Oreochromis niloticus: one gene and its partners. The protein of the gene in region 3 purifies or fractionates together with the protein of the main gene of each other region. This does not show direct contact. Links are inferred from orthologs where the notes say so. Each region holds a gene or a part of one and is shown on either strand. Other genes may lie near its edges.

Evidence for each region. Proteins that work in one complex are often made in the same cells at the same time.
Region 1: the proteins of prkaa1 (region 3) and usp10 purify together in Homo sapiens (affinity purification with western blotting; 3 studies listed by BioGRID). This does not show direct contact. The link is inferred for Oreochromis niloticus from reciprocal best matches to the Homo sapiens genes PRKAA1 and USP10.
Region 2: the proteins of prkaa1 (region 3) and pars2 purify together in Homo sapiens (affinity purification with mass spectrometry; 3 studies listed by BioGRID and IntAct, with this or other methods). This does not show direct contact. The link is inferred for Oreochromis niloticus from reciprocal best matches to the Homo sapiens genes PRKAA1 and PARS2.

Annotation. Positions count from the first base shown.
Region 1 is NC_031965.2:21,778,137-21,781,890, forward strand, and holds the start of usp10 (ubiquitin carboxyl-terminal hydrolase 10), read right to left. Parts: upstream 2,258-3,754; 5' UTR 1,973-2,257; coding exon 1,952-1,972; intron 1-1,951. UniProt on the Homo sapiens protein: Hydrolase that can remove conjugated ubiquitin from target proteins such as p53/TP53, RPS2/us5, RPS3/us3, RPS10/eS10, BECN1, SNX3 and CFTR.
Region 2 is NC_031981.2:3,038,167-3,041,920, reverse strand, and holds the start of pars2 (putative proline--tRNA ligase, mitochondrial), read right to left. Parts: upstream 2,385-3,754; 5' UTR 2,203-2,384; intron 1,497-2,202; 5' UTR 1,478-1,496; coding exon 1,154-1,477; intron 584-1,153; coding exon 338-583; intron 235-337; coding exon 1-234. UniProt on the Homo sapiens protein: Mitochondrial aminoacyl-tRNA synthetase that catalyzes the specific attachment of the proline amino acid (aa) to the homologous transfer RNA (tRNA), further participating in protein synthesis.
Region 3 is NC_031972.2:15,617,550-15,621,303, forward strand, and holds the start of prkaa1 (5'-AMP-activated protein kinase catalytic subunit alpha-1), read left to right. Parts: upstream 1-1,066; 5' UTR 1,067-1,081; coding exon 1,082-1,178; intron 1,179-3,007; coding exon 3,008-3,149; intron 3,150-3,754. UniProt on the Homo sapiens protein: Catalytic subunit of AMP-activated protein kinase (AMPK), an energy sensor protein kinase that plays a key role in regulating cellular energy metabolism.

The DNA of each region.
Region 1 (3,754 bases), on a different chromosome or scaffold from region 3:
ACCAAAAACCAATACAATCCCAAATAAAATTACCTTCCCACCCCAAAAATAAAATATAATCACTGAAATCCTTTAACTAGCTTTCAAACTAGCTCAACTTTACTAATAAGCTAAAATAAAGGAGCAATAATGGTATGTTAATTTGAAGTGTCACATTTGGTAGATTATGCATTAACAAGATGACTTACCACAAGCAGAACACTATCTGCCTTTATCTCCCAGTGCAGAAGAATTGATAAGCATTTCCAGAATTACCTGTTTGCTAAACTTCTACTCAGAAGACTGATGTCCCTTCTGGTGCTCATGTGTCTTTTACTGCCTCACCTGTTTATCGACCAATTTTAGCCCCAGTGTTAGTATTTTTACCCAGCAATTTCACAGAATAAATCAACAGCAAACCTTTCAGTCGCCTGCCTTCTGTGACTACTTTACAGAGGGATAGCTATTAAAATGAGGGGTTTTGTAACAGAGTAAAAGTGGTGACAAACAGAGGAAAGCAGACCCAATGAAATAGTTGATGATGCTCCAGATCTGCTGGGTTACCGTTGCTGTGGAGCACAGTCTGGAAAACACTAATTTAGAGCGTTGGTGAAAGCTTCCATGCATTACTTTTCACTCTATGCTATTCATACTAACAAAAACCAAAAGATACTATGCAACTCTGTATCGGTCAGTTCAGTTATGAGAATTTATTTCAGCAAATATTGACATGTAAATTAAAAGGGATAAAAAAAAAAAGATGTTCAGCCGGTTTTCCCGTGAAACTTTCACTTTAATAAAGAGGGAACCAATAGAAACGCTCAATTTGGAAGCCAGGAAGAAAGTTGAAAGCATGCAGAATTACTTTAGTACAGCAGATTTCCCTTACTACAGTGGTTAGCCAGGTTCCGTTTCTTAATAAAGTTAGAACTCGACACTTCACTTGACTCCAATTCTGATTAATTTTTAGTATGTGAGGTTTTTCTTCTCTAGTTAAACTTTAATTCAGTCTCTTACTAGTAGACTAGAGACCTGGCGTGTTTCTGCATGTAAAACTAGACCTCAAAATGGGCCTTCCAACATGACAGCTAGCTTTTCCAGAAATAACACCAAACTCGTTAGGTTACCTCCAATCCAAGCTCAGTCACGTGGACGGTGGCTCTGTAAGCAGCGTGCAAGCTCAACCCTGATCCTCATTGTTTCCATATCAAGTAACTCTTCGCTATCAACGAAGGCCCACACTGTCGAATGTGTATTTAGCTAACTAGCTAGCGGACAGACAGCAAAGTCTAAGCACACCACCTGTGCAAAACAGTTAGCATACTAGAAGCTAAACGAGCAGCACGAAAACGTTATACCGCTCCAGAAACACTTATAAACGCCAAGTGATCGCATGCAAAATATTCCACTAGACCGTTATTATGCTTTCTGACTACCCCGAGAAAACCAATAACTTATTGGTAGTTATAAAAATAAGATATGGCAGCAGGCCTGTGGCAGCACTGAGCAGGTGGGCCATGCATACACGCAGCAGTTTTCGGTCACTTTTCTCTAAGAAATATTACATGACATTTGTGGACTATTACTTCGAAGTATCACGAACATTTGATTGAGCAAGTTTTCGTGTCGTTTAATTAAAAGCGGTTGTCATCGCCTCAAGAACTGCAACGTTAAGTACTGCTGGTTCATTTGAATGGAAGGACCTGGGGCCTGTTAGCTCACGTTACCATGCTGGTGGTATTCCAATGAGGCTTAGGGGGGGCATTAGCAAGCACTTTTTAGTACTTCAGCAGTTCAATGACACGACAGGCCAAATGTTTAAAATAACAACACACAACTGACCAAAATTAAATTATTGTGTGGCGTTAGCTTTGGTCAAAATGGTGCAGAATCAAAGAGCGATCTGAAGTCCAAAAATAAGAGACTGCACGAGTTGTTTTGGAGGCTAATGATAGCGAGCTAGCTTAGCTACCTGGTTGCTGTAAGAAGCCATGCTCCCGGTGAGGTTTTCTGTCCTCCGCTGACGAGATGAAGAATCCCCCGGGAAGGTGTTGTAGGTTTCTACTGACAGCTACAAAAGGTGGTCTACTTCGACGTCATTGTCATTTACCCAACGGTGTCCTGCCAGTCGAAAGTTTTGATCTATGTAATGCATCAGCACTTCATGCTGTTCGCCTTGCCGTCACCGCCATTTCTGTCTAGCATCTCCCTTGCTTGCTAGCCAGAGCAGCGCGCGGTCGGTTGTAACGGCAGCGTGAGCTCAGGGAGTAACGCCAAATACTTCCGATGAGTACTGATTCTAAGATTTCATAATAAAAAGGCTTCATTAATACTTTTGGTACGAATACCACTACTTACAATGATAACAATAATAATATTAACAATACTCGAAAATTTAATAGAAAAAAATTAACGGGTGCAGATGGTTGATTTTATATTTACAAAGTTTCAGCATTTAGACAGTAAATGAACCGAAAGAACAAAACCCAGTGTGGATAGTAACCAAAATTAAACTCAACTGAAAAATAAACTAACACTAAATAAAATATAATAGAATATAAAATTGCACTCCAAGATCCTGCAAAGGTTTCAAGGGATGGTGAAAAAAATCACATTCAGTGTAGCTTTAGATTGTAAGTGCTAATTATGATTGCTGATCGTTTACACTCACTGATAGGTTATCTTGCTTGTGTTCATCACAGCTATATCATATCAGATCAGATCAGATCTTAACGACCGCATAGTACCATATTATCCCAACATCACACCGCCCTCTAAGACTACAGGATTATTTGTGGTTTCTAGAGTTTCTAGAGAGTCTCTGCAGTTTTAATATTAGACTCAAAACATTTGTTTCGACAAAGCTTATACATGATAAGGCTGGATAAAGGCCTGGATAAGATGACCATGATCCTTCACTTATTCATGCTGCAATTTGCTCAGACTGCTGTAAAACAAGTAATACACTGTGGTGTACTGAGGACTTCCTCTCCAATCACTTCTTCCCTCCTCCAGTCTGTGTTTTTTCTTGTCTCTCTGTGCTCTCTTTTCTCTTATCTTTCTTCCTTTATCTTTTCAATCACCCACTACTGGTCATGGTGGATGGTTGAACCTCACTGAGTCTGGTTCTGCTGGAGGTTTCTTCCAGTTAAAAGGGAGTTTTTCTTTCCTACCATCGCAAAGTGCTTGTTCATACTAGGTTGTCTTTACATTACAGTACAAACTGCTTTAAAACAACTATCGTATTGAATTGGTGCTAAATAAATAAACCTAAATTCCATTTAATAGCACTAAATATTCAGCTTTTAATTTACATGAAAATTCTCCAATTGTCTCGTGGTCATGTCTTAAAGAAATGCACAGAAGAATCTGTTACCTATAATTACAGATTGCAGAGCAAGTTAAGAACTCGAGACATTTATTTTGAAATCTATGAATGCCTCGGCGGAAATGCTAAAAGTAATGCTATGAGTTTACAAGTATGAACGCATGCGCGGTGTGTGTTCTCATCTCAGCCTGGACGTGAATCGCATTTTTTTTTCTTTTTCTTTTTGAAAGTTAAATAAAAATTAACTTTTTATTTTAAGCACATTTTTTGTTGTTTTTTATGAACCTTGGTGGTTTAAGCTGCACAAATTCAGTCAAAACAGTGAAATAAACAGCAGCAACTACATGCACTCAAATGTAATAAAACCCCATGTGCCTTTTAAATAAGTAATGCCTTCGACAGTGCAGGACAACACCCAAACTAGTGGGCGTGGTACAACACAGGTGA
Region 2 (3,754 bases), on a different chromosome or scaffold from region 3:
CAGCTGGAACTCATGGGACAGTTTACCGCCGATGTTTCCCGTGTCCGCCTGCACCTGAACGCAACGCAGACCCAACCTGGTGAAGAGCCGAGTATACGCTTGGCAAACAGACTCGTACGTCTGATGAGCGGCTTCTTCGCTCACGTCAAAGGAGTACATGTCCTTCATGTAAAACTCCCTCCCTCGGAGAAGACCAAACTTCGGCTTTGGCTCGTCTCTGAATTTGCGGGTGATCTGTTTTTTGGGTTTTTCCAAAATAAATCATGTCAGAAAAAACAAACAAACTGCAGCTTGTTGCAGCAAAAACACTGACAGTAAGAACGGGCTGAATGCTTACTTGGTAAAGAAGCAGTGGGAGCTGTCTGTAGGAGAGAGTCGCCTGGTGAGCAACGAGAGTCGTCACTGCTTCCTCGTGAGTGGGACCCAGGCAGTAGTCAGCGCCGTGCCGGTCTTTCAGGCGGAACAGCTCCTTTCCCATCAAATCCCAGCGCTCACTGGTTTTCCAGAGGTCGGCCGAGCACAAACTGGGCATGTCCAGCTTCTGCCCTCCAATCCCCTGCATCTCCTGGTCAATCACTCTCACCTGTTGATCAAAGACAGCAGTTCAAATCAGGAGGTTGGAAGATAAACATCAGCAATCACGCAAAAATTGATAGGAAACTAGAAAAAAAGGCATTTCTGTACCCTTTTCCCTTTAGTCAAGAGCTACTGTTTGACTTTATCATTTTAGCCCAATAAACATATAATCTAATCTAATATATTCGATTACATAATCATATAATCTATGTGATTAGATTAATTAGGTTTTATAATCTTATAATCCACAATAATCTAAGAGGGAAAAGAGACTGTCTGGACAACGTTCACAACCTAAACTAATGTAGAGCCTGTGGCAACAGACTACTGCTTTGATAGACGCCATGTAAGAGGATGACTGTCATTCTGAACCTGTCATAAAGCAAATTATTGAGCGTGTTATTATTTGTAAGATCTAAAGGAACATTCATACAGCATTTGCACGCCCCAGGATAAATTAACAAAATGAAAACAGTATTAAAAAATTCTTAAAAAAAGAAACTATTATCAGTTCAGTTACTTGGCAGGACAAAACCAGCCAATAATATTACTTTATTATTATTATTATCACTCTCACCAGCTTCTCCATGGAGCGGATGGTGGCAGGAAGGTAGTAGTAGCACCCTGGGCTGGATGGATGAATAAGCCCAGCCTGCTGCATGAGCCTCTGGCTCTTGCAGCTCATCTCCCCTGGCAACCGGCTGTCCTGCGCCACATCACGTAAGTTCGAAGGCTGGTAGAGACGAGACACCAGAAGTACGGGCTTTCTACCACAGGAGGGCGCGGAAGCAGGGACGGCTGCCTGCTCAGCACAGCCTGAGTCGAACCTCTTCGGAAGGATCAGGGTCCTGTGGAGGCGGCGAAAGGCTCTCTGCCAAAGCTGAAGCATTACAGGCTCCATGGTACATAAGGATGTGCTGCTATTCAAAGAGAAATGATAGCACAATCATTTGAAGCTGGATAAGTGACCTCACCTCGCTAGTTAGCACACAGTGCCACGTAATAACTGCAAAATCCTCAAATGTGAGATTTTTTCCCTTTTTCATGGCTTATATGACAGCTAAGTTTAGAGTTTTTGACTGCTAGTTAAACAAAACGAGCACTGAAGAAACATCCTCATCACAGAGCACTCGTTCTTCTTTACTGGCCATTAGGAAAAATCTGTGTGTTTACATGGAGATATTTTTAATACATTTCCCAGTTTTTCAATTTTATGATACTTTTCACAGAAAAGAAAATATGTTCACGGAACACTGTAGTTTTTACTCTTTCATATTTATTGTGGTAACACTTTACACGCACTTATAATGGACTTCCTCCATGCTACGCTGCTTATTAAACCTCAGTGAAGGGGGTGAACCATCAGCACAGATGCTTTTTTAGGTAGCAGGTTATTTCATATCCGAGAACAAGTTGTTTAACCCCAGTAATTATATACAGGTTGTAGGGTTTATCCAGCCGAAACAGCCACGGGTTATTACACAAATACAGAGGACTGATAGCTGTTTCACAGTGCTGATGTCCCTGACAGATACATGGATGCTAGCAGGTTAGCTTGGCAGCTAATGTGAAAATGACCTTCTTCAGTTTGCACGCGATATCACGTATGCAGTAAGAAAGACTCACCTTGAGACCGATAACCAGTGTCTGACTGTCCTGTGTAAATTATATAACTAAATGAAGGAAGAGCCACATTTTTTTTACTAAGTTCGCAAAAACACTGAAGGTCCTGCTACACTACAACATGCTGCGTTTCTTCCTCAGCTACATGTCGACAGGCCCCTTGTCTGAGAACGCCCCCTAGAGGGCCGGAGGAGTACTGCAGCAGCAGGGGGCAGTTTTGACTCAGAGAATATGGATGAGATTTGTCACAAAGCTGGCTCTTTTAACAACAATCGCCATGAATGAAATCCAAACAACATAACAATGTTACTTGATTAAGTGAGTAGAGGTGGGCGGGTCTATCCAAATATCAACAGTATCGACACCAGTATGAGAGTGATAGTATCGATACTTTGTTTCTGTCATGTAAGTTCAGTATGTAGCACACTGACATGTGTTTAATATTTTGCAATGAAAAAATATACATCAAACATGCACATTGAGAAATGTACAAACTGTTTTGTGATAAAATCTAAGCATGGATATGTAGATAATAATTATTTAATAATTGCATAATAATTCTAAAAAGACGAGGTTGTAAATAATTTTTTAATGTGAACGTAATATGTCACATATTCTGTGAATATTTTCGATTTTTTTATCTTTTAGTGTAAAAATGATCAATGCATAGAAAAAAAGGAACAGAAAATAGTAATTAATGTATGATGACTACATAACTACTATAACTACTCTATACTCTTATACTGCTGACACTTTATTCACTTATAGTTACTTCTTCACTTATTCAGTCAAACTGTGTATATACTGTATATTCTGTGTATTTGTTATCTCGCTCTTATTGCCTGTTTATGCGCTGTTCTTATCTTCATCATCATGCTGCTCTGTTGTATCTTAATTGCCCCTTGGGGATAAATAAAGTCTTTCTGATTCTGATTCTGATTCTGACATATTTCTGACTTTTGGCTGTACTCACAAGGACTGAATCATTTTTTTTATAGTTGAAATTCATCAAATTTTTCTAAGTATAATTCTCACCTGTGTTTGTTAGAAGTTTTGCTTTAAAACTGTGTGAAGAAAAAGAAAACGCTGTGAACAGAGAGTGAATTCTGGACAATAATATTCACTTTTGATTCTCTGGGTTATTCCAGTGATGTGGCTGCTTGAGAGGTCTTATTTGACTACTCAGTGCCTGGAAAACCTGTCTTTTGAGTAAATGAACTTGAAGACCAGTTCATTTTACTGTATGGTGAAACTGGTCTGATATGTCTTTGTGACGTGAACTTTTTCCTACTCTAGCCTAAAACGACAGAAAGATGGCTGTGTTATAATATAAATGTCAAAGTCACTCCAATGAAACATTTATGTTTTCCTTTACCTTTTCAAATTAGGAACTTCTGTCAGTTTACAACCATCCTAACTACCCATGAGGCTCTGGGGACAAAATGTTTGTGATTGTCACAGTACGTTATCATTTTCATCTTCTTATGAATTTCAATAAAGGGAACACAGACGCAAGAATAAATCTGAGGTAGCAGACAAACTCAGGAGAATACCT
Region 3 (3,754 bases):
AATACAGAAGGGTGGGATGATGGAAAAATATATATCCACCTCATAAACAAGAGCCTAAAACCACAACTATGAACTGGATTTGCCATGTTGCAGAACTGAATAGTATAGGGGAAAGAATGGTGCATTATATACTTACTCCAACACAATCGAGCCATATTTACTGATCTTCAGGCTATGACTCATTTCAACGTGATTTTCCAGCATAAATTATGGACCAGGAGTCATATTTCAGCAGAGTTTGCTGATTCATTCGCCACATTGAGCTTTCTGCTTCCAAACAGTGCTGTGCACTATCTACATTAAAATGCTCCTTCACTTGTACACTGTGCCTTAAGTATAAACCTACAAAACCTGATTTTGTCACCAGGCAACAGAAATCTGCGCATACAATAAGCCTGTCTAATTTGCCCTTGCTGAAGCGGCATTTAATGTAATTTGGATAGTTTGGACTGGAGTGCAGCTTTTGTTTATATACTTTTTATGAAGTTAACAAGGCATTGGAAATATATTTGAGACGATTATGAGAATGGATTCTTATGAAACATAGTTCACTGTATTAATGTATTTCATGCTGTATGAACTATGTAACTCCCTTTATATAATCCTGATGGTATTTTGTCAGTTCTTAAAATCTTTTTATGTTGTATTTAGACAGATAAAAATAGGGCCCCAATAAGGGAGCAGCCAAAAATCCTTTTTTCATATTGGCAGAAAACTGCTGACTTTATCCAGAGTTTCCATAGTATTTGATTGGGCACATCATAATTTATCTATCTCATATATGTCTAACGCACATTTTCTCTCCTTTCACTTCCTGACCCTGATTTAGCCTATACGATAGATTTTCCGGCCAAAACAAGTTTACAACGTGAACTTCACCCAGATTAACAATTTCGGAGTTTATTGAGAGCATTTAAATGCAACATGTTACGTCGTTGACGATTTTGACGAATCGCACAGGAGCCGGGACGCCTCCCACCCTCAGTGTTGAGCGGAGCCGCTAGAGTGGAGAAACACATAGCGGAGTCCGGTCCATCTCTACCGCAGCTAGCTAACCCCGCAGCAAGGCCATTGCGGGAAGATGGCGACGGAAAAAGCGAAGCATGAAGGAAGAGTGAAAATTGGACATTACATTCTTGGAGACACTCTCGGAGTGGGGACGTTTGGGAAGGTTAAAGGTATGTGTAACTGTCTCAGGCGTTTATGCATCCTGCCAGCTGCGAGACGGTGGGAGAGGGAGCTTTTAGCTTAGCTGCTAAGCTAGCATACTAGGAAAGCTAACTTGTCGCAGTGCTGGGGAGGCAACACACTTGTTGTCGCGCTATTATCAGAACTTTTTTTGTGTGTGACAAAACGCAGGTTTTAGAGCGTGTCGTTGTCGTTTCTAAGATAAACAAGACACTGGAAGTTTTATGAAATTGGCCTGTAGCTGGTCACGTAGTTTGCCATTTAGCGTCGGTTGCGTTGCGTGCTAGCGAGCGAAGCGCTTGTTGAGACATACACCGGGAAGTCAGCCCTCTTCATTGATGTTGCCGCTAGCAAGAGTACATTTTAATCGGTAAAGTACGGTTTCCTCTCTCTTGCCTTTAAACCCAACTCTGCACTACATTCATTCACAACTTCTTTTCCCATGAGTCGTATTTGTCGCCTGTTTCAAGCATTCAGTGTTAATTCTGAAGTTTAGATGGAGAGAGTTGGACAAACTCTGCTGAATCTACGCCCACTTTGTCAGTGCAGAGGGCTGAACGCTTAGAAGCTTAAGTCAATATACAACTATCAACACGCAATAGACTAAAAAAACCTGTTTTTTTTCCTGAAAAGTAATCGTGTCTGCGCGTTGCTTGTTTTGTTTACCTTACAGGCTGTTCTGTTCAGTAGAAACACTGAAACCACAATATATATCGAAATGGAGTGGAACCACCACAAGCTGTGTGATCGGTTAATTCCCAATGAGTCATCTCCCAGCTCTCAGCTATTTGTTGATGTTGAGGGAAAAGAGCTGGAGTTGGTGCTGTGTGATTATGGTCTTGATTACTACCGACACAGCTGGTAAATCAAAACCAGCTGTTTGCTAACTCCCATGGGCAAATGCGCTGTCTTCCCACCGTCCATTCAGATGTTATCTTTTTGTTTCTGGTGCGGCTTCTTACCGCTTTCAGTTATGAGGACTCTGTATTTGACCTATTTGCTCATGTATTGACTGTGTATCCCCACTCACCTTTACAGATCATTTAGCATGTGCTAGGATTTCTTTCTCTTTTTTTTTTTTTGTGGGTGACTTAATGTATTTACATTAGGTCACCCACATTAAGTCACTTTCAGCTAGAGACTTTATAAAGTAGAGATGTGGCGTTCAAAGACTCTTGAATTTAAACAGCAGATGAAGTAAGGCTTTGGTTAGCTTTGACTGATGTTTCGTAAGTATGTGCCCAATAGGTGCTGGAAGGTGTTTCAACATTGTGCATGGCAAGATTTGCTTCAAGGACTTTCGTTTCAGCATTAGATTTATCACACTCAGTAGGCAGCCAGTTTCAGCAAAAAACAAAAACAAGAGAGCTGTTTTACAGTCTTTCCATAATACCAAATGACAAAGCTATGCTGTGATATGCCTGAGTGATTGAATATGGTTGACTGAATACAAAATACTTTTTTTTTTCCATCCTTCCATTTTTTTTTTCCTTTAATTTGAATGCTTTTATTTTTTATATTGTTAAAATTGTGATAGGAAGTGGTGATTTAGATCTGCCATTCCTCACACTGACTTCACGATATTGGTCCTATTGCTGCTGTCCTTCATCCACCATGCTGCCTTCTGTTTCCAAAATAGGTTTCACCTCTAAGATTCGTAGCATGTCCGGTAACCTTTATCCTAATAGTGTAAACAACAAATTACACATTTCCTTAAGTTGCGTGAAGATGACTTGTTTTGCATAATACGTCATCCTTCCCTATTTTATATGGCCTTGGTTGTAATAGAATTGCTCCATCCACTCTTTTTTTCCTTCAGTGGGCCAACATGAGCTGACCAAGCATCAAGTGGCAGTGAAGATCTTGAACAGACAGAAGATCCGCAGTTTGGACGTGGTGGGAAAGATTCGCCGGGAGATCCAGAACCTCAAGCTTTTCAGGCACCCTCACATAATTAAACTGTAAGTCCTAGATTACACTCTGCTCACTGCTCCATAATCCCCTTGCCACTACATTAATGCCACCCACTGAGCTATTTTCAGGCTTTTATAGTGTTGTTTTAGAATACATCCATCTAGGACAGTATCTGTCTGACTCAGTCCACTCTCTCTTCTGACCTCTCCCTGTTGTGCAGTATTGACTGTTTAGTTATTCCCTCAGTTGGTCTTTCATTTTAATGTACAAAAGTGCACTGGCTTTGTCTTTATTGTGGCTAGCTGTGTAGCTTGCTCTGCTGGTATTACTGTCAACATCTGTCAGGCTAGAGCAGATAAGTGTGTCATTTCAAATGAGTAATTTTTTAACATCATAGTCTGAGCTGACTGTCCCATAATGTTCTGGTCCTCTAAGCTAAACTTGCTATCTGACAGTTGTCAGGGGATTTCCTGTTTGGTAAGGGAATGTTCACAGACTCAAGGCCACAGTTACAGGGTCATTAAACTGACCGGGGGTGTGTATAATTGCCTGAAATACCCGTTCCATGTTAAGCATGCACAAAAATGTAAGCTATGTCTGTGTGTGTCTACGCATGAGAGAGTGATTCCATCTTTGGCAGGGTACACAGACC